Stegostoma tigrinum: one gene and its partners. The protein of the gene in region 2 interacts with the protein of the main gene of each other region in a pairwise test. Links are inferred from orthologs where the notes say so. Each region holds a gene or a part of one and is shown on either strand. Other genes may lie near its edges.

Evidence for each region.
Region 1: the proteins of histone-lysine N-methyltransferase Smyd1-like (region 2) and zbtb44 interact in binary tests that used the Homo sapiens proteins (3 or more experiments, as listed by UniProt). The link is inferred for Stegostoma tigrinum from reciprocal best matches to the Homo sapiens genes SMYD1 and ZBTB44.
Region 3: the proteins of histone-lysine N-methyltransferase Smyd1-like (region 2) and fam204a interact in binary tests that used the Homo sapiens proteins (3 or more experiments, as listed by UniProt). The link is inferred for Stegostoma tigrinum from reciprocal best matches to the Homo sapiens genes SMYD1 and FAM204A.

Annotation. Positions count from the first base shown.
Region 1 is NC_081385.1:17,220,753-17,228,264, forward strand, and holds the start of zbtb44 (zinc finger and BTB domain-containing protein 44), read left to right. Parts: upstream 1-4,499; 5' UTR 4,500-4,670; intron 4,671-7,512. UniProt on the Homo sapiens protein: May be involved in transcriptional regulation.
Region 2 is NC_081354.1:176,261,324-176,268,743, reverse strand, and holds the start of histone-lysine N-methyltransferase Smyd1-like, read left to right. Parts: upstream 1-4,326; 5' UTR 4,327-4,453; coding exon 4,454-4,590; intron 4,591-7,420. UniProt on the Homo sapiens protein: Methylates histone H3 at 'Lys-4' (H3K4me), seems able to perform both mono-, di-, and trimethylation. Acts as a transcriptional repressor. Essential for cardiomyocyte differentiation and cardiac morphogenesis.
Region 3 is NC_081373.1:18,501,606-18,509,101, forward strand, and holds the start of fam204a (protein FAM204A), read left to right. Parts: upstream 1-4,458; 5' UTR 4,459-4,576; intron 4,577-7,496.

The DNA of each region.
Region 1 (7,512 bases), on a different chromosome or scaffold from region 2:
TGCTAGATCGTCTTCAAGATTTCCCCCAATAAATGCTTCCATTTGGAGTATTTTGTCTGTCTGGCTGTCCCAATGCTCTTATCTATCTATTATCATTTAAATTCTCTTAAGAATTACATTTTATTTACATTGCAAAATACTATTTCCAAAGTAAAATGACCATTATGCTACACATTATTATTTCACTTGCTCTCTTCCTCTTCTTCCGTATCCTTTTTCGTTTTCCAGATCAATTTTGAGACAGGAAGGCAGACAGATGACCTATTTCCAAACTTTCACTTTTCCTTTCTTTAAAATTAATGCACAAGAATTGTCTTGGGATGATTTTCTCCCCTCTTTAATTCCAAGGAATGTATTTGGAGTTTGTTTGCATTTTTGAACAAGATGAGTAAAAATGTGTACATTTTAACAAAGTGTAGTGTAACAAGTTTTGGTTTTAAAAAGTGCAATCTATTTCCACCATAAACATTTCATAAGCTAGGATGAAATATGTTCAAGAGTCTAGCTAATGTTGATCCACACAATAGTATATGTTCTTTTGTTTTCCCTTTAGGGTGAATCTAATCTCTCTTTGATGTAATTCTTTGATAAAGCAGCTTAGTACAATATAGATCACATGTTGGTGGTTACATCTTTCTTACCATACCAAGCTTGAAGGCACCATCCTTTGGGGTATTGCTTCTTTACTGACCTATGTCTGTATTCTAACAACTGTGCTAATTAAATTCAAATGAAAGCAGACTTAAACCATTTTGCTTAATCTAACTCACGTGGCAGACGTAACACCTCATAACCTATGATCTGGGCTACATTCCAAAGTACTAATGCATATTGTGAAAGTTCATGTAAACCTGTTCATAATAGACATTGACCATTACTTTGTGCAAGGCTGAATCGGCTCTTTTTTTTTACCATATTATGCTTTGAAGATCATAGATTGTCAATGTCTCCTTTCATAACCTTTTGATGCAACAGAACTCTTTAATGGAGCAAGGAAGTAAGAATGTAATATTCACTCATTGCATGACTCTTCAGTAAGAGGACTGGAAGACTGAAGCTTGTGGTATAAGAGGACACTTTCCCAGGGATGGAGACATGAAAAAAAGTTAGGAGCATACAAGTGTTTCAAGTGATGTGTGTTTGATGGCTCCCACAGACTGCACAAAAAGACACATATAGCAGAGGCAGCGGACACTCGACTCTTACAGGAAAGCCAGTACACTAAGGGTATAACTGTGTTTCTCCAAACATTCTTCTTTACGTAAAAGAAAATGCACCTACAATCCTTCGTATTACAAGTTATGTAAGTTACCAAATGTATGTGATCACAAAGAAAATAATTTTCATTAACAAGCCAGTGTGTTAGTGAAAATCTCGACCCCTGGCGGGGTCTGTCGATTCCACGATCGGTCAATGAGCACTCGCAATCGGTCTGGCTGTTTAAGACTTTACTCTTTATTTCTTCATACGGCGGGGTACAGATCATCCGGAAACACAGAAGTTGAGCACTTCCGTATTCCTCGGAGGAACTGCACACACAATGTAACGCAAAGACATTTTTATACTTTTCTTAAAGGAGGGTACATGGCGTGATCGCATAGTGTATTCAAATGAGTACCAATCAATACATGATATTGCTTCATTGACAGTTACTTAATCCAATAATATTAACTGGTAAACAACTTATGTCACAACGCTTAGGTTACTTTTTATCTCGCCACACAGCACCACAACATTTGCAACCGAAGGTCAGTTAGAATGGTTAGTACTGCATTATCTTATCATCACTGCATTATTTATGCAGCTCTAGCAGAGTTTACAGTTCCCAGGCTAGCAGAGCAGCTCTCGCAGAATTTACAGTTCCCAAGCTAGAAGCCATTTTTGTTGTGCTAACTTGCACCAAGAAGCCATCTTGAGCCTTTATCCAAGTTTCAGACTGACATTAGCACTCGTCACTTTTGTCAACTCCGCACATGCGTTCCAAATATAGTTCTTAACTTGTGATGGTCTTCTCACAGCATGTATAAATGTTGTCATTGGCTGTTCCTCAGGTACTGGCTCAATCCTAGGGCAATGTTTCCCTCATGCATGTTGTTGTTGTGGTAACGGTTGTTGCCAATCCATTGCTCTGGCTATTGAACAGTGGCCTACATGATTGATGGTCATTCAGTACTCCATGCAAGTGCTAAAGTTACTTCTTCCCGATCAGCTTCCTCTGGTGAAGTCTTAGCTTCTCTAATTTTACATAAAGATCTGTGGCTGCTATTATATATTTGGTCATTCACATTCATTGTGTATGTTCAACTGCTCTACAGTTGTCCCAAGTAGCTACACAGGGTTACTTTTGCTCAGCGTGTTGAATGGTTGCACTTTGCATACTCTCCAATACTCAGCTCTGGAAATGATTTGGCAGATTTATCAAAATGACATTTGGCCTATTGTCATTCCATCTGATTTTGTCACTCCTTACTTTTAGCTTCAATAGTTTCGTTTTGTCATTAGCAGAGAACTTTGGATTCAGTGTGACATTAGTCTTTAGACGAGATGTGGAAACTGTTGGCTCGTTCAGAAGAATTTGTTAAGGAAATGTCACATCTCCTAACTTGTTAGAGTACTTTGAAGAGGTGACAGAGAGGGTTCATGAGGGTAATGCTGTAGATGCGGTATAAATGGACTTCCAGAAGGTTTTTGATTCAGTGCCACACCGAAGACAAGCGTAAAAGGTTATATCTTATAGAAGAGTCAATAGCAACGTGGATACAACATTAGCTAAGCGATAGGAAACAGATAGTAATTTTCAATGATTATTTTTCAGGCTGGAGTAGATTTTATAGCAGAGTCCTTGAGAGTTTGGATTGGGTCTCTTACGTTTTCTAACGTAGAGAATATAAATGGTTTATATTTTGGCATGCAGGAGACAATTTCAATGTTTGTGGATGACACAAAAGTTGGAAGCATTATAAATGTGAGGAGAACAATGCAGAACTTCAGATGGACATAGAAAAGATAGTGGAGCGGACAGGTAAGTGGCAGACGAAGTTGAAGTTTGATGTAAAGATGTGTGAGATGGTGCATTTTGGTAAAAGAACATGAATTTCCAGGATAAAATAAAGGGTGTTATTTTAAAGTTTGCCCTGGGGCAGCGACCTGATTGTACATGTGCATTAATAATTTGAGGTGGCACAACAAGAAGGGAGAGCTGTTAATAAAGTATACAGTATTCTAGGAGTATGGAGTACAAGAACATCCACAACATTTGCTATTATTTATATCCTCTACTCTGGCTTTAATCTTACCATTTGTTTTTCTTTTATTCCCCAACTGGCTGTTTTCATTTGGTCTGTCTCACAACATATTGCAAAACCTGATCTATTTCCCCATTGATATGCACTGACTAATGATTGATAACCTCAAAGTTTCTTCACTTGCTTATAGCTTTCTTGAATATGTTTCTCCTCAGCCAACAGCTTTGCTCTCAATGCAAGTTTTCTAAGGCCCGTGTCTTATGTCATCATTCAGTTGCCCAAAGTCTCAAGATCCAGTTAAATCAGTGTGGTCGATAGACTCCTTCTCCCCTTGAGTTCTGATACTGAATATCATTCATAAGTAACATTGATGTGGCATCCAATGTGTGACATTTAAGCTTTCATCTGACTTTTTTGCTCCTTTAGGCTGCAGTCGGCTTGTAATATTCTTTAGGAACAAAAACAAAGTTGCTGGAAAAGCTCAGCAGGTCTGGCAGCATCTGTAGAGGAGAAAACAGAGTTAACGTTTCGGGTCCGGTGACCCTCGTAATATTATTTCCCGCGCATTGTAAGTGTAAGAAAAGTGCCAATACCTGCACAAATCCCGGGTCCTCTCTGATTGACAGTTGGTGCTGAGCCGCGTCCCTATCACACCTTGATTGACAGTTGGTACAGTGTGGCTCCGCCCCGGTCCGGTTTGATTGATATTTGGTGGTTAGCCGCGCCCCTCACCCTCTGAATGTCTTTTTGGACTGGTTGGCCCACCCCTCTCTATCTATAATTGGCAGTTGGTGCTGTGTTCCCGCCCTCTTTCCGTCTCTGATTGACAGTTGATGTATGTTGGCTGCGCCTCCTGGCACTCTCTGAGTTAACTGTTCGTACTCAGCCCCGCCCCTGTCCCTCTTTGATTGTCATTTGGACTGTGTTGGCCCTGCTCCCGCTCACTGACTGCTTGCGCTGAGCCCCGCCCCCTGGACCATAGTTATTGACAGTTGATGCTGAATTTTGCCCCATTGCCCTCTGATTGACAGTTGGTCTTGAGCCCCGCCCCAGATAGCTTTGAGTGACAGAAGATGCCTCTGCCCCCTTGGCCTTCACTGAAAATTTGTGCTTCGCGCTGGCCCCGCGGCCCTCTCTGATTGACAGTTGGTGGCGTGACCCCGCCCCTCGCTTCGCCGATCGACAGCTAGTGTCGGGCGGCCCCGCCCCCACGCCCCCTCTGATTGACAGTTGCTCTTTGAGGGGAGGGGGGCGTGCGCGGTGCAGGTTGGGAACAAAACAAACCCCCGGCTCGAGCGGGCGGACGGCGGCGGTTGTTCTGGGAGGGAGGGGGGTGCGGTGACGAGAAGGTGTCGAAGCCGAGACCGGACAGACGGAGCTGCGACACTGGCCGCGCAGTAAGCAGCGGGGGCTTGTAATTTAACGGTATATATCTGGGGAGTGGGGAGAGTGCGAATGAAGGGGGTGTCATCTTCAATCCTCTCCCCTCAGGCCTCTGACCCCGCTTTAGACTCCGAGCTCTCCGGCCGCCTGGGAGGCCGCGGGAAGGTTGAGTCTCTCCCTGTGCAGGGCAAGTAAAGGGGAGGGGAGAGGGGAAACCTTCCATGTGATTCTCCAACCCCCTCCACTATTGGGGCCTCCTAAGTAAGGCTGGGCTGAGGAGTCGCACCAACAGGTAGGTGCCTCCCTCACTCCAGCCCAGCACCACGGCCCTGCGTAAACAATGGCCCCATTGGGCTGACATATCGCCTCGGTCTGCATGCGATCACTGCCAGCGCGGCCCCACCGACCAAGGGCCGCAATTCACTCCTCGGTCTGCCCCATGTCTTCGTCATAGGCACTCATGCAAACCTCTGTCCGAAGTCATGATTCATGCACTTTTAATGCATTGCAATGTGTTTCTGTTTCCAGCAAAAAGAGGGGTAATTCCTAAGTGTGTTTCACTTTCCTATGTTCAGCGCCACAAGCAAAATGGTAGCATATTCAGACACCCACACCTCAGCATAGTTCTGCAAATGAACCAGTCTGTTTCTCCCGATTCTCCCGAAATACAGTAAGGGTTGTAAAAATTTCTAGCCGTCCACTCTTCTTATTGACTCAACAAAGAAGTAAACCGTAACACCCGCTCGTGCCTGAAATACTAAACAATAGTGAAATGAGTGTGCCGTGTTCAGTGAAGTCTCAAGTTAAAGACTTTGTTATGAAGTTCAAACTTGCAAATGCGTTAAATCATTCACTCTTGCCCTGGCTCATCTTTCTCCTTGATCCGTCACCACTCAATTGTTCAAAGCTTTGGTGCTGTCCAATAAAATTGATCAAATTTTAGAGTTGGATTATAATTGATTTGTGCTTCATAGTGTGATGATTAATGGAATAGATCTATCATGGTGCACACTGAAGAATTGTATAATATTATTGTGGGTAATTATATGATTATAATTCGGCATACAAAAGACATTTGGTAAGCCTCTGATCATGGATTCTAAACTAAATGTTTGATTCAGGAGCCTGAAAGTTGTAGAATATTATAAGAAATAATTCATCATAAAATCATAAGTTTGCTTAAATAAGATACCAGCAACTGAGCATTTTTTGGTTTTTCAAACCATATCAAAACAATGTCCAAGTTGACTGCCCTATAAAAAGGTTGATTTATGTCCTTGTATTTTAGAGGTTTGAGCAGTCCAGCTCAAATATATTTAACATTTAACACACATTGATTGATTAAAATTCAACTAGGCCAAACTTACTGATTTTATACCAGGATTTCTGAGACATGAAGCTGTTGTGACTTCTTAAATTTGTTTCACCAATGTGTGTAAATCAAAGAAAACGTTCCTTAAGTGGAGTCTCAGATAGGGTAGTGAAGGAAACATTTGGTATTCTTGCCTTTATTAGTCAATGCATTGAGTATAGGAGTTGGGAGGTCATGTTGCAGCTGTACAGGACATTTGTTAGGCAACTTTGGAATACTGCATTCAGTTCTTGTCTCCCTGCAGTAGGAAAGATGTTAAACTTGAAAGGGTTCAGAAACAATTTAGAAGGATGTTGCCAAGGTTGGAGGGTTTGAGCCATAAGGACGGGCTGAATAGGCAAGGGTATTTTCCCTGGAGCGTCGGAGGGTGAGGGGTATCTTATAGAATTTCATAAAATCATTAGGGGAATGGATAAGGTGACTAGTCAGTGTCTTTTCCCCAGGATAGTTTTAAGATGAGGGAAACATATTTACAAGGGCCCCATGGGGCAACTTTTCACGCAGAGGGTGGTACATGTATGAAATGAACTACCAGAGGAAATGGTGAAGGCTCGTACGGTTACAACATTTAAAGGACATCTGGATGAATATATGAATAGGAAGGGTTTAGAGGGATATTGGCTAAATGCTGGGAAATGGGACTAGATTAATTTAGAATATCTGGATGGCATAGACAAGTTGGACCAAAGAGTCTGTTTCCATACTGTACATCTCCAACTCTAAATTGTTATGAAATAAAACAAAGAAATGTGGATGCTGGCAATCTCAAACAAAAACAGAACTTGCTGGAAAAACTCATCAAAGTCACCAGACTGTATGTTAACTGCTTTATTGCCATAGATGCTACCAGGTGTGTCAAGCTTTTCCAAGTAAATCATTATTTTAGCTCGTAAGTGTGGTTTCCTTCTATTTCCAATATTTATTGATAATGTGCAATTGCTTACTGCTTTCATGATGAATTCATCTGCCATATTATTTCAGTATACATGAATCTTTGTTTTGTTCCATATTCTGTTTAGTAGCTGGTTCAAGTAACAACCACTGCTGATGAATGTGAAGGTTTATTGCATTTTTTAAAAGGTTAAGATTAGAGAAATATATAATGGCGCAAGCTGTTTACTCTCAGGGTTAAGGAGCATAAATAGTTCATCATGAAATTCTGAGCTAAACTTTGATTACTAATCATAGTGAAAATGAATAGTACTAGGTGACAAAGTAGAACTGTTGACTTGCAATAAGCATAATTTGGGCTGTTAGCTTTCTGTGTAGATCAATCTTTATATCTGGGTTAAATTTAAATTGTCATTCTAGGGACAACTGCACTTTGTGATTAAGGTACGTTACTTGTTTTCCAGAAGATATAATGGGGCAGGTGGTCTATTTCTGTCCTGTAAACTTTGAGTTTAGCTGTGCTCAGTTAGGTGCTTTAAGAATGACTATGCACGAGTGGCATTGGTTGGTAGAAGTACAAAATTGACTGGTCTGATAGCAATAACTCGGATAATGCATGGT
Region 2 (7,420 bases):
TTTTTGTGATCTTTATAAATGACTTGGATGAGGAAGTAGAAGGGTGGGTTAGTAAATTTTCCGTGACATGAAGGTTGGTGGAGTTGTGGTCAGCGTGGAGAGTTGTTGCAGGTTGCAAAGGGACTTTGATAGGATTCAGAGCTGGGCATAGAAGTGACAGATGGATTTCAACTCAGAAAAGTGTGAAGTGATTCGTTTTGGAAGGTCAAATTTGAATGCAGAATACAGGGTTAATGGCAGGATTCTCGGCAGTGCGGAGGAACAGAGGAACCTCGGGGCCCACATCCATAGATCCCTCAAAGTTGCTACCCATGTTGATAGTGTTGTAAAGAAAGCATATGGTGTGTTGGCTTTCATCGACAGGGGAAATGAGTTTAAGAGCCGCGAGGTTATGCTGCAGGTCTATAAAACCCTGGTTAGACCACACTTGGAATATTGTGTTCAGTTCTGATCACCTCAATATTGGAAAGATGTGGAAGCTTTAGAGAGGGTGCAGAGGAGATTTACCAAGATGCTGCCTGGATTGGAGGGCAGCCTTATGAGGAAAGGTTAAGGGAGCTAGGGCATTTTACATTGGAGCGAAGAAGGATGAGAGGTGAATTGTACAAGATGATGAGAGGCATAGATAAAGTGGATAGCCAGAGACATTTCCCGAGAATGGAAATGACTATTATGAGGGGGCATTATTTTAAGGAGATTGGAGGAAGGCGTAGGGGAGATATGAGAGGTAGGTTCTTTACACAGAGAGTGGTGGGAGTGTGGAATGCACTGCCGGTAGTCGTAGTAGAGTGAGATACATTAGGGTCATTAAAGCAACTCTTGGATATGCACATGGATGATAGTAAAAGAGACAACAAAGTGTGAAGCTGGATGAACACAGCAGGCCAAGTAGCACCTTAGGAGCACGAAAGTTGACGTTTCGGGCCTAGACCCTTCATCAGAGAGGGGTCTAGGCTCGAAAGGTCAGCTTTTGTGCTCCTGAGATGCTGCTTGGCCTGCTGTGTTCATCCAGCTTCACACTTTGTTGTCTCAGATTCTCCAGCATCTGCAGTTCCCATTATGTCTGGATGTTAGTAAAATGTAGGATATGCAGGGTAGTTTCGCTCTCAGAATAGAATAATAGGTCGGTACAACATCGTGGGCTGAAGGGCCAGTACTGTTGTATATTCTATGTAATTTAGATTCATTAAACTCACTTTGTGTATTTCATCATATTTCTTTGCATTAAGTTTTGACTATTCTCTCTTTGCCTCTTTCATGAATCAACCTTCTTCCAACTATAAAATTGGGTGGGATCTTCCCATGCCATGAATGATGATGACTAATTTGGAAGGACTGAGTGAGATGTTGAATGGGGGCTTTCATTCGGAATCAACAATTCAAATTTTCCAACTGAGTTCCAGATGTGGAAAGAACATTCCCGCCAGTGAGAGGTGAGAGGCCTATTAATAGGAATGATTGCTCAGCCTCAACCTCACTTATGTGTAAGTACACCTTGTTTATCTGCAGACTTCTGTCTACCACCCTCCAAATGGAAACCAGTTGCAGAAATACTCAACAAAGAAAAAGTTTCTAGAAAAAGTTTCTAAGTGGGTGCCTGGCAATCCCAGCCCACTGCTTCAGCCTCCAGAAACCAAGCACCAAAGTCTCACTGCGGTCTCCATGGACAGTGGCCGCACACATTCTATGCCCACGGACATTGGCAGCCAAGACCATATCAGTCTTTCTGCAATCTCATGCCACACCTCCGACCCATTCGCAGTAAGCTCCATTCTGGAATGCATCAATCATTGCAGTGCTGCGCATGATAGACTTGGTGTGGGGGAATAGGCATCGATAAGGGGTTGGAACGTTTTGCATCTTGGGGATCCTCACATGCTGTCTCAGCATTCACTCACTTTGCTTAGATGTTTACAACATCCTCAGGTTTACCATGCCTCTTTTCCCTATGCTCCTTCAGGCAGAATGAAGGGATAGATCATATTTCTACCTTGACTTGCCTTCTTGTGCAGACACAAAGCCCGACATTCTGTTATGGTGGTCAGCAGTTCGTCAGACCAGGGGTTGGGCATGTTACTGTGTGGCACTATACTGAGTCAATCTCACACCTGCATCATATGTCAGCACTGTACATAGAAAATACACCACACGCGCAGCAAGAAAATAGACTTTACTCGAAGGCTCCAGAGGCTAGCCCGAAACATCAGCATTTGTGCTCCTAAGATGCTGCTTGGCCTGTTGTGTTCATCCAGCCCCACACTTTGTTATCAAGGTAAGAACCTCTTCAGCCATGGGGTGCTGTTACAGCTGGTCAAGAACAGCCCTTGATGTCACCTCAGGAGCTTGGACATGGTCATTTGGCCAACTGGGATGGCCATTCACCTCTTTGTAGCTGAGGGGCTGAATGTCAAGCAGCACAGCACCCATCTGGTTCATTCTCCCCACATCATGGACTATTTTCTCCTGGAATGAGAGAAAGGGAGGGTTTGAATGAGATTAAGGTAGGAGGCAGAACTGGTAGTTTTGGAGCAGGTGGTCAGAAGCTGATGCTAGAAATGATGGGTTAGTGGTACTATCACTGGACTGTTAATCCAAGGAACCAGATAATGTCTTGGGGAGCCAGGTTTGAATCCCGCCGTGGCAGGTGGAGATTGAATTCAATAAATATCTGGAATTAAGAGTCTAATGATGATCGTGAATCCATTGTCGATTGTCAGAAAAACCCTGATGCAGGGCAGTTTTGCTCTCAGAGTAGAATAATAGGTCGGTACAACATCGTGGGCTGAAGGGCCAGTACTGTTGTATGTTCTATGTAATTTAGATTCATTAAACTCACTTTGTGTATTTCATCATATTTCTTTCAGAAAAACCCATTCAGTAATGTCCCTGAGGGAAGGAGACTGCCATCCTTACCTGGTCTGGCCTACATGTAACTCCAGACCCACAGCAATGTAGTTGACTCTTAACAGCCCTCTGGGCAATTAAGGATGGACAATAAATGCTAACTGGCCAGTGTTGCCGTCATCCCATGAATGAATAAAGAAAAAAAAGTGGCCTGAGTGAGTGAATAGGCAACCCAGAGGCCATGGTGTGAGGGAATTGGGTGGGTGAGAATGAGTGAGGAAAGATGCTTCACACAATACTGAGACTGGTATGGTAGGAAGAGGGTATAGTGGCAGAGATAGAGTGAGAGTAAGGTAGCAGAGTGAAGGTGGTGGTAGTCTTCCTGGCAGAGTGGGGAGGTCATTGACCTTCTTCTAGCGGTGCTGTCTTCCTTCCAGCCAGATGCCTGCAATTGCATTGACCTGGGTGGTAAATATGTGCCTTAGGCTGGCAGACTTTAGTGATGTGCCCTACTCTGTCAATCTTGGCGAAGGGGTAGTCCTAACCTTGCATCACTCTCTCCGGTGGAGCTCCAAGCCCCTGCCCACAAAGCAGGCACCAAATTCCCTTCTCTCCCATGCCAGGCTGAATGTCACCAAATGCTTGACCAGGTGAACAATGACCTTTTAAAAGTGGTACCAATACAAGGTCAGTGATAAGCACTTTCAGTTACAGCGAGTGGGAGAACGAGGTCAGTATCAGACAAGAGGGAAACTATTGGAATGTGGTAAATCGTCAATGGGGTGAGTTTGGAAACTGTAACATGAGAATACTCTTTAGGCTTTGCAAAGTGAAACTCTCTGTGCAAGTCAACAAAAATGACACTTTGCCTGAAGAAAAGGTAAGATTCAGCCCATATTTATTTCATTTAGCTTAGTGTTCAGATAAGCTTAATTTATTGTTGGATTGGGTAACCAGCACTACCCTTCTAACATGCCCCTTTCAATCGCTTAACCTTTGTCAGGTTTCTGGAGCCTTCCATGAAACATTCTCGTGCCTTTGCATTCACTAATGCTTTAGGCCAGTGCCAGAGTCTACTGTTCAGTGTGCAGAAATTCAAGAGACTGATAACACGCTGATATCTTTTAGCGAGTCTCACAAGTAATGGCAACTCCTCTTCAGCTGTCACACTTTGACGGACAATGGCATCTGTTTTCCAAAAATAAATCCACTGGCTGCACCCAGCTCATTTCTCAAGGGGATAGAGACATTACACATGTAATGTTGCAGGATTGTTGTAATACCTGACCAAAAATTTTCCTTTTTCTTTGAAATGAGCTATGACTAACTATTCTGAATCATCGTCAGGAGTTAAAGGAATGTACAATAGTTTGTCTGAATTAACCTAGGCATCGTGTTTCACCAGGTGGGTGTTCTTGCTATTTTCATCCACAAAGCCGACGCTCCCCCCCCCCCCTCAACTCTCCTCACCATTTTTTGACTTGGTACAGGCTGGATGAGTCAGACCATTTATAGAGCTCACTTTTGACTGCCTGAACGTGTCAAGATTAGCTGAAGATTAGTGGCCAAGGTTAAAGCTCGTAGTGCTGGGCTCTTGCTCATTCTCTCAATGACGGTCGGTGACATGGATAAAGTAGAAATCTTCGATGCAGATGGCAAGGGCAGGGGGCTGAAGGCCAAGCAAGATCTTCTGAGTGGGGATGTGGTCTTTGCTGAGCCAGCGTATGCTGCGGTTGTGTTTGACAAGTAAGTACGTCTGTCTACTTGTCTTCCTACAAAGTCACCTTACATTGCTCCAGAATGCAAGTTATAGAATCAAGTTCAGGTGTTGGATAAGAGTTTTTATTTACATTTGATTTTAATACAGCAGCGCTTCTTCGACATTTCATTTCCTATTGACTGTTTAATTGATTGAGTTCCTTGTCTTCATTGACTGAATTCTGCAAGGAATGCCCGAAAACTGTTGTCTTTAATTCCACTGGATACTACAGTCTTCCAGTTGACAATGATCTAGCTTCACCATGAGCTGGTGGGACAATCATATGGGATCATTTTACGTTGCTACAGGGAGTTACTTGGCTCAGTTCTTTCCATTTGGGGGTTTTCAGGCCAAAGGTATTTCTTTAGGGAGAAAGGTTCAGAACCCAGAGTCAAACAGCACAGAAACAGATCCTTTGGTCTGACTTGTCCACTTTGGCCAGATATCCCAATCTGACCAAACCCTATTTGCCAGCATTCAAAGTGGGAACTGTCATTTATTTCATAGAAACCAATCAGGGCTGTTTTTGAAGTGGTTGTTATTAAAATGGAGGAAAATTGACAAAACCTCATTTTTTTAGTTGGCCTTTCCTAGTTGCTTGGGAAGGTGATGACAAGCATTTCTATTTAACTTTTTAATCCTTGCCTTGCTAAAGCTCCAATGTCGGTATTTGATGTGAAACTGCAGGGTTTGAACCTCGTAGTGTTCCAGAAGTGGCGCTTAAATTCAGGTCAGGATGATCTTGATATTGAGGAGAACTTGCAGGTGACGCTGTCCCTCCAATCCTGGTACTCTTATCCTTCTCAGTGTGGCCGAGACTGTAGACTGGGACATGACATTCGAAATGCGGCTAGAAAGTGGCTGCTGTTACCGTAACCTGCCGGGAGATTCATCCAGTGGCAGATCTCCCGATCAAGTGGATCACATTCCGTCCAGGATGGTTTAATGTTTCAGATATCCCGTTCACTATGTCAATCTAATCCCAACTTGAGCCTTGTAAGTTATAGAGTGCACTGAATGAGTGGGAAGTGAGTCACTTGTCAGAGTGATGGAGTTTTTGCTTTGTTCTTGTGTCTGTCTTGTTGCTTTGACTTAGCATACTCGACAAAGGATTTAGAATCACGGATTTGTGGAACTTCCGAAGGAGGCCTTTCAATCGATCATGTCTAAGATAGATCACAACAAAAACAAGTCACCTATTGCCATTCCTCTGCCTTTTCCCTGATAGAATCATAAAATGATCAATGGTGGAATGTTTATATGTAGTGCTGTTGGAGACTTAGGGAGAAATGCGAAGTGGTTACACAGTCTGCATTTGGATTCACAATGTGAAGGAAACTGCATGGTGAGCAATGAGTACAGAAGGCTGGATTGAAAGAAAAAGTACAAGAAAACTGCTGCCTCACCTGTAAGATGTGCTTGGGACCCCGAACGGTAAGAAAGAAGAGGGGACAGTTCCACTGTCACAATTCTACCAATGCATGGGGAGGGGGGCATGGGTTTGCTCTCAGTACAGCTGAGCTATTTCCTACTATTCACATCTATTTTGAATCCAGATCTCTCCTTTGTGGCCATTAGAATTCACTTTGCCTTTTGCTCCAGGCATTCTCATGATCTGTTCCCCTCACCCCCCGTCCACCTTTGTCAACAGCATAAAAAGCATTATTTTCCAGCCCTCTTCAATTCTGAGGAAGAATCACTGGATTTGAAATGTTTCTCTCTTCAGAGATGCTGCCAGGCCTGCTGTGTTTCTCTGCCACTTTCTGTTTTTATTTCTGATTCCCAAAGTCCACAGTACTTCAATCCCACATAACTGCTCTGCTCAATATGGTTTGCATCAGGTGTGTCTCTCCTGGGGGAAAGCAGAAATGTTTGTTGCAATGTCCTGAAAAGATAAAACATCCTGGTTGACTCTTAGGAAACCCTGGTTTGCACTCAGCCTGAGAGGGAACATTTGGGAAGACATAAACCACATTGAGACTTCACTGGGGATGTACAGAGGTCAAGTCAAGACATCAGAGAGTGAAAGTAAATAGCCCATTTGTCTCACCTTTCCTATCTGTGACAGAGTCTGCAGAACAAGCAATGGACTTATCAACCCTTTCAAAAGTTGGGAAGTTATGATGTAGTTGCTCTGGATCTTGGTGCAGTTGCACTTGGAGTATGGTGTTCAGTTTTGGTCACCTTGCTATAGGAAGGATGTTATTAAACTGGAAAGAGTACGGAAGAAATTTACAAGGATGTTACCAGGAGTCAAGGGACTGAGTTATTGGGAGAGGTTGGACAGGCTAGGATTTGTTTCTTTAGAGCGTAGGAGTCTGAAGGGTGATCTTATAAAAGTGTATAAGATCACGAGAGTCATGGTTTAGGGTGAATGCACTCAGTCTTTTTTCCAGGGTTGGGGAATCGAGGATTACAGGGCATCAGTTGAAGGTAAGAGGGGAAAGAATACTTTGGAACCTGAGGGGCAACTTTTTTACACAGAGGGTGGTACACATATGGAATGAGCTGCCAGTGGAAGTGGTTGAGGCAGGTACATTAACAACATTTAAAAGGCATTTGGATGAATACATTGAAAGGAAAGGATGAGAAAGATATGGGTCAAGTGCATGGAAATGGGGTTAGCGTGGATGGATATTTTGGTCGGCATGGACCAGTTTGGGCTGAAGGGCCTTTCTCCATGCTGTAGGACTCTATGGCCCTGTGACACTATATCCCATCAAACCATAGTGGATGCAAATCATCCATGATCCTGAGCACTGCCTAAGGTGATGGAGCAGTTCATGACATTCTTTTCTCAGAGTCATAAGGCTTTGC
Region 3 (7,496 bases), on a different chromosome or scaffold from region 2:
TTGTCCCTGAGAGTGACCGCTGTCTGGAGACACATGCTGACCCTCTCTCCGGACAGTGGTCACTCTCAGGGACACACACCGACCCTACCTTGGGACAGCGGTCACTGAGGGTCACCCGCTGACCCTCTCACTGGACAGTGGTCACTCAAAATGTGCCACACTGACCCTCTGACCACTGTCGGGAGACAGGGTCACCGTGAGTCCCTGAGTCTCCGGATAGTGGTCACTCTCAGGGACACACGCTGATCCTCGCTCCGGACAGCGGTCACTCTCAATATTTCATGCTAACCATCTCTCTGGACAGCGTCACTGTCAGGTTCTCACACTGACCCTCTCTCCAGACAGCATCACTCTCAGGGACAGAGACTGATCCTCTCTCTGGACAGCAGTCACTCTCATGGTCTCACACTGGCCCTCTCTCTGGACAGCGGTCACTCTCAGGGACTCGCACTAAACCTCCGTCTGGACACCGGTCACTCTGTAACACAGGCTGACCCTCCCTCTGGACAGCAGTCTCTCTCAGGATCTCACACTGACCCTCTCTGTGGATAGCGGTCACTCTCAGGGTCTCACACTGACCCTCTCTCCGGACAGCGGTCACTCTCAGGGTCTCACAATGACCCTCTCTCTGGGCAGAGGTCACTCTCAGGGTCTCACACTAACCCTCTCTCCAGACAGTGGTCACTGTCAGGGTCTCACACTGACCATCGCTGCAGACAGCGGTCACTCTCAGGGACACACGCTGATCCACTCTCCGGACAGCAGTCACTCTGTGTCTCTCACTGACCCTCGCTCTGGACAGCAGTCGCTATCTGTCTCTCGCACTGACTCTCTGGCCACTTTCCGGAGACAGGGACAGTGTTTGTCCCTGAGAGTGACCACTGTCCAGAGACATTCAGGGACACATGCTGACCCTCTCTCTGGACAGTGGTCACCCTCAGTAACACCAACAGACCCTCTCTCCGGACAGTGGTCATTCCCACATTCACACACTGATCCTCTCTCCGCAGTGTGGTCAATGTCAGGCCCCACACTAATCCTCTCTCTGGACAGTGGTCACTCACAGGGACTCATGCTGACCCTCTCTCTGGACAGCAGTCATTCTCAGTATCTCACGCTGATCCTCTGTCTGGACAATGGTCAGTCAGGTACCACAGTGACCCTCTCTTGGACAGCGGTCACTCTCAGGGACACACTTTGACCCTCTCTCTGGACAGCAGTCACTCTCAGGGACAAACGCTGATCCATTCTCTGGACAGCAGTCACTGTGTCTCACACTGACCCTGTCTCCGGACAGCGTTCACCCTCACTATCTCACGCTGTCCGTCTCTCCGGAAAGCAGTCACTGTCAGGGTCTCACAGTGACCCTTCCTACGGACACCAGTCACTCTCAGGGACAAATGCTGTCCTTCTCGCGAGACAGCGCTTACTGTCAGGGTCACATGCTGATCTTCTCTCCAGACAGCGGTCACTGTCAGGGTCTCACACTGACCCTGTCGCCGGACAGCGGTCACTGTCAGGGTCTCACACTGACCCTCTGGCAACTTTGCAGTGACAGGGACAGCGTTTGTCTCTGAGAGTGACCGCTGTCTGGTGACACTCAGGGACACACACTGACCCTATCCTAGGAATGCGGTCACTCTGAGGGTCACCCGCTGACCCTCTCACTGGACCGTGGTCACTCTGTGTCTCATACTGACCCTCTGACCGCTGTCGGAAGAGAGGGTCACCGTGTGTCCCTGAGAGTCTCCAGACAGTGGTCACTCTCAGGGACACATGCTGATCCTCTCTCCGGACAGCAGTCACTCTCAGGGACACTCCCTGATCCTCGCTCCAGATAGTGGTCACTCTCAATATCTCATGATAACCATCTTTCCGGACAGTGGTCACTCACGGACAGAGGCAGATTCTCTCTCCAGACAGCGATCACTCTCAGGGTCTCACACTGACCCTCTCTCTGGGCAGCGGTCACTCTCAGAGACATAGGCTGATCCTCTCTCCGGACAGCAGTCACTCTGTGTCTCAGACTGACCCTTGCTCTGGACAGCGGTCACTCTCATGGTCTCACACTGACCCTCTCTCCGGATAGCAGTCACTCTCAGCAACATAGGCTGGTCCTCTCTCTGGACGGCAGTCATTCTCAGTGTCTCACACTGACCTTCTGTTTTGACAGCAGTCACTCTCAGGCTATCATACTGACCCTCTCTCTGGACAGCGGTCACACTCAGGGTATGACACTGACCTCCTGTCTTTACAGCGGTCACACTCAGGGTCTCACATTGACCCTCTCTCCGGACAGAGGTCACTCGCAGGGTCTCACACTGACCCTCTCTCCGGACAGAGGTCACTCGCAGGGTTTCACACTGACCCTCTCTCCGGACAGAGGTCACTCTGAGGGTCACCCGCTGACCCTCTCACTGGACTGTGGTCACTGTGTCTCACACTGACCCTCCTGACCGCTGTCAGGCGAGAGGGTCAACGTGTGTCCCTGTGAGTCTCCAGCCAGTGGTCCCTCTCAGGGACATATGCTGACCCTCTCTCCGGACAGCATTCACTCTCAGGGACACTCCCTGATGCTTGCTCCGGACAGCGGTCACTCTCACGGACACAGGCTGATTCTCTCTCCAGACTGCGGTCACGTGCTGGGTCTCACACTGATCCTCGTTCCGGACAGCGGTCACTCTCAGGGATTCGCACCGACCCTCTCTCCGGGCAGCGGTCACTGTCAGGGACATAGGCTGATTCTCTCTGGACAGCAGTCACTGTGTCTCCCACTGACCCTTGCTCTGGACAGCGGTCACTCAGTGTCTCACACTGACCCCCTCTCCGGACAGCGGTCATTCTCAGGGTCTCACACTGACCCTCTCTCCAGACAGCGGTCATTCTTATGGTCACACGCTGATCCTCTCTCCAAAGCGTGGTCAACGTCAGGGTCACACACTAATCCTCTCTCCGGACAGTAGTCATTCACAAGGACCCATGCTGACCCTCTCTCTGGACAGCAGTCAGTCTCAATATCTCATGCTGACCCTCTCTCTGGTCAACGGCCACTCTCAGGGACACATGGTGGCCATCTGTCTGGACAGAAGTCACTCTCAGGGACATACTTTGACCCTCTCTCTGGACAGAGGTCACTCTCAGTAACACCAACAGAGCCCTCTCTCCGTACAGCGGTCATTCTCAGGTTCACAGGTTGATCCTCTCTCCACAGCGTGGTCAATGTCACGGTCACACACTAATCCTCTCTCCGGACAGTGGTCACTCACAGGGACTCACGCTGACCCTCTCTCCGGACAGCGGTCATCCTCAGTATCTCACACTGACCCTGTGTCTGGACAACAGTCACCCAGGGACCCACACTGACCCTCTCTCTGGACAGCGGTCACTCTCAGTATCTCACACTGACCATCTCTCTGAACAGTGGTCACTCTCAGTAACACCAACAGACCCATTCTCCGGACCACGGTCATTCTCACGGTCACTCGCTGATCCTTTCTCCAGAGCGTGGTCAATGTCAGGGTCACACACTAATCCTCTCTCCGGACAGTAGTCACTCACAAGGACCCATGCTGACCCTCTGGACAGCAGTCAGTCTCAATATCTGATGCTGACCCTCTCTCTGGACAGCGGTCAGTCTCAATATCTCACGCTGACCCTCTCTCTGGACAGCAGTCAGTCTCAATATCTCACACTGACCCTCTCTCTGGACAATGGTCACTCTCAGGGACACATGGTGGCCGTCTGTCTGGACAGCAGTCACTCTCAGGGACACACTTTGACTCTCTCTGGACAGAGGTCACTCTCAGTAACACCAACAGACCCTCTCTCCGGACAGCGGTCATTCTCAGGTTCACACGCTGATCCTCTCTCCACAGCGTGGTCAATGTCAGGGTCACACACTAATCCTCTCTCCGGACAGTGGTCACTCACAGGGACTCACGCTGACCCTCTCTCCGGACAGTGGTCACTCTCACTATCTCACGCTGACCCTCTCTCCGGAAAGCAGTCACTGTCAGGGCCTCACACTGACCATCCCTATGGACAGCGGTCACTCTCAGGGACAAATGCTGTCCTTCTCGCTAGACAGCAGACACTCTTAGGGTCACACGCTGACCCTCTCTCCAGACAGCGGTCACTCTCAGGGTCTCACACTGACCCTTGCTCTGGACAGAGGTCACTCTCAGGGTATCACACTGACCTTCTGTCTTGACAGCGGTCACTCTCAGGGTATCACACTGACCCTCTCTCTGGGCAGCGGTCACTCGCAGGGTCTCACACCGACCGCCTCTCCGGACAGCGGTCGTTGTCAGGGTCTCACACTGACCATCGCTCCGGACAACTGTCACTCTCACGGACACCAGCTCACTGTCTCTGGTCCTCTCCTGACGTCATAGCGTTTCCCGCCCCCACCGACCGACCGAGGCTCCACGTGACCCAACCTCACACTATATGCGTTCCCCCGCCGCTTTCCTCCTTGTCTCCGTCTGTTGGTTCCGGCCTCAACCTAGCGGCCGAGCGCCATCTTGGAGGAAGTTGTTTCCCGGGAATCGGCGGTGTGTGACTCTCGACTGGCGAGGTAAAAATAATTAAACATTGATAACATAACGTGTGGTTTTGTAGTAGTAGAGCGTTGGAAATCAAGTAGTAAAGCAGCAAATCCGGCTGTGGACCACAATCAGCCGGTGTTTCTCAGCTTGTTCTTTAATCGTCATTCTCCTGTTCTCTGTCACTCCTTTTCCTCACTCTCTGCTTCCTACTGTTCCCCTTGTCAGACTTTGTTGTTTCCCCGGGTGATCATTGCCTAATGCTTTGACTTTTTATTTTATTTTCATTCTCTGCTCTTCCTGGGATCTCTTACAGATCTTTTCAGATGAAAAGAGGTATCTGCATGTCCTGGTGGGGTAACAACATCTCCTTGTTGTTCCAGAGATCACTAGCATAGTTTTTTTTAAAAAAGAAGCATCTCTTGTTGGTTGCTGCAGCCCTTCATCCATCCATTGACTACTTTCATCTGCTTCACTTCATTCTTCTGTGAATACATTCACGCTTCTCGCCCACTTTACCATCCGTTTCCCCCGTCGACAGCAGTTCCCCTGTATTTACGATGGAATATTTCCCATCTCGCTACTGACTTTTCCCATTCTCCCACGGTGTACCCTTCGTTTTCCCATTGCCCGGCCATTTGCGCTGCATTTTTCTAATTTTATTGCCTCTCAGAGACGCAGACATTCATTTCACGTCAATCATTGAAAGAATTTGATTACCCAACTCTACCTCATCTATATTTCAGTATTTTACTTGCAAATAATTTTGGAAGCATATGTAAGTGACCGTGTAAAAAAGTAACTGAATAGAATTAAAATGAACAAATACACCAAGCCAAAGTAAATTGAATATGCTTGAGTTATAAATGAACAAGTTGCAAATAGTAATCAGAATTTAAATAATTTACAGAGTAATATGGTAAATTTGAAGATTTGAACATATACAATATGCAGTTATCCAATAGCAGTTGGCAGTCAATTAATTTGAACATGACACACAATGCTTGGTAGCATTGAGTTCCAAACTCAACACGAGATTTTAACTGGTGGTAGAAACTGGGGAACTAATTCTACTGAGAAGTTCATCAGCCTCTTTGGTTACAAATGCAAAGCACAAAATGTCATTGTCATCGAAATTTTTGAGATTGGATCATTTTCATTCATGTTTCCCGGTCATTACTTTTTATAGAGCAGAGGTTTTTCTTTGAATTTTTAGGACCTTATGCTGTACAAAATTTTTTTGAAATGATGGGTTTTATCTGCTTATCCATGTAGATTTTTTTGTACATTTGTAAGCACAGAATTGCATAAATTGGAAACAAACAATGCAAATTGAAACAGGAAAAAAAAACACACCAAGGAATATTGTAGATATCAGCTCTAAAATGCATTGAAAATAAAGGAGAAATGATGCTGTATATGCTTTTGGAAACAATGAAACAAATGAATAACTAAAGAAGGGACAACCCTTTAAGGGCATTGTAACAAAATTAAAATCTGAAAAAGGAAACTTAAAAATTATTTCTTATCAGCCTGTTCAGAGATGTTATTACACACCTCTAGAACAGGTGGGACGTGAACCTGGGTCTCCTGGCTCAAAGACAGGGAGGCTACCAATGCACCACAAGAGCCCTCAAATGTGACCCAAATTTACAAATTCAAATTGAGATGTAATTTGCAGGGCTGCTACTGAACTCCACTGATCATGGAATCGCAAGTTTATCAATGGTACTGAGCATTATCGCATCATTTTTAGAGAGTACATTGACTGCATTTTTGAGTTTTTGTATGCTGACGTAGTACACTTAATCCAAAGCAACTAGGGATAGAATTCCAGGATTTTGACTGAGCAATAGTGGAGAAACAGTGATAAATTTGCAAGTTAGTATGGTGAGTGGCTTGGAGGGGACTTTGAAGGTGCTGGTGTTCCCATGTATCTGCTGCCCTTGTCCTTCTGGATGGAATTGATCGTAGTTTGGCAGGTGCTGTCTGAGAAGCTTTGGTGAATTTTCTGCAGTGCATCTTGTAGATAGTACACACAGTTGCTACTGAGCGTTAGTGGTGGATGGAGCAGATACTTATGGATACCATGGCAATCAAGCAGGCTGCTTTATCATAGAATCCCACAGTGTAGAAACAGGCTGTTTAGCCCAACAAGTCCACATCTACCCTCCAAACACCATCCCACGCAGACCTACCCCACCACCCTATCCCTGTAACCCTGCACTTCCTGTGGCTACTGTACCTAGCTTACACATCCCAGAACACTATGCACATTTATCATGGCCAATCCACCTAATTTGCACATCTTTGGACTGTGAGAGGAAACCAGAGCACCCAGAGGAAATCCACGCAGACTCGAGGAGAACATACAAACTCCACACAGACAATCGCCCGAGTATGGAATTGAACCTGGTTCCCTGGCGACATGAGGCAGCAGTGCTAACTACTGTGCTGCCCTGGATGATTTCAAGCTTCTTGAGTGTTGTTGGGACTGCCCTCATTCAGGCAAGTGGAGAATATTCCATCTGCTACCAACTTGTCTTGTAGATGGACAGGCTTTGGGGAGTCAGGAGGTGAGCTACATGCCACCGTTTTCCTTGCTTCAGACCTGCTTTTGTAGCCAGTGCTTCTGTGTGGTGAGCTTAGTTGAGCTTCTAATCAATGATAACTCCCAGAAAGTTGATCGTGGGGAATTCAATGATGGTAACACCATTGAATGTCAAGGGCGGTGGTTAGATTATCTCTTATTGCAGATGGTCACTGCCTGGCATTTGTGTGGTGTGAATGTCACTTGCCACTTGTCAGCCCAAGCCTGGGTATTGTCCAGATCTTGTTGCATTTGAACACTGATTGCATCAGTATTTGAGGAGTCATAAATGGTGCTGAACATTGTGCGATCATCGGCAAACGTCCTCACTTCAGACCCGATAATGGAGAGAAAGTCATTGA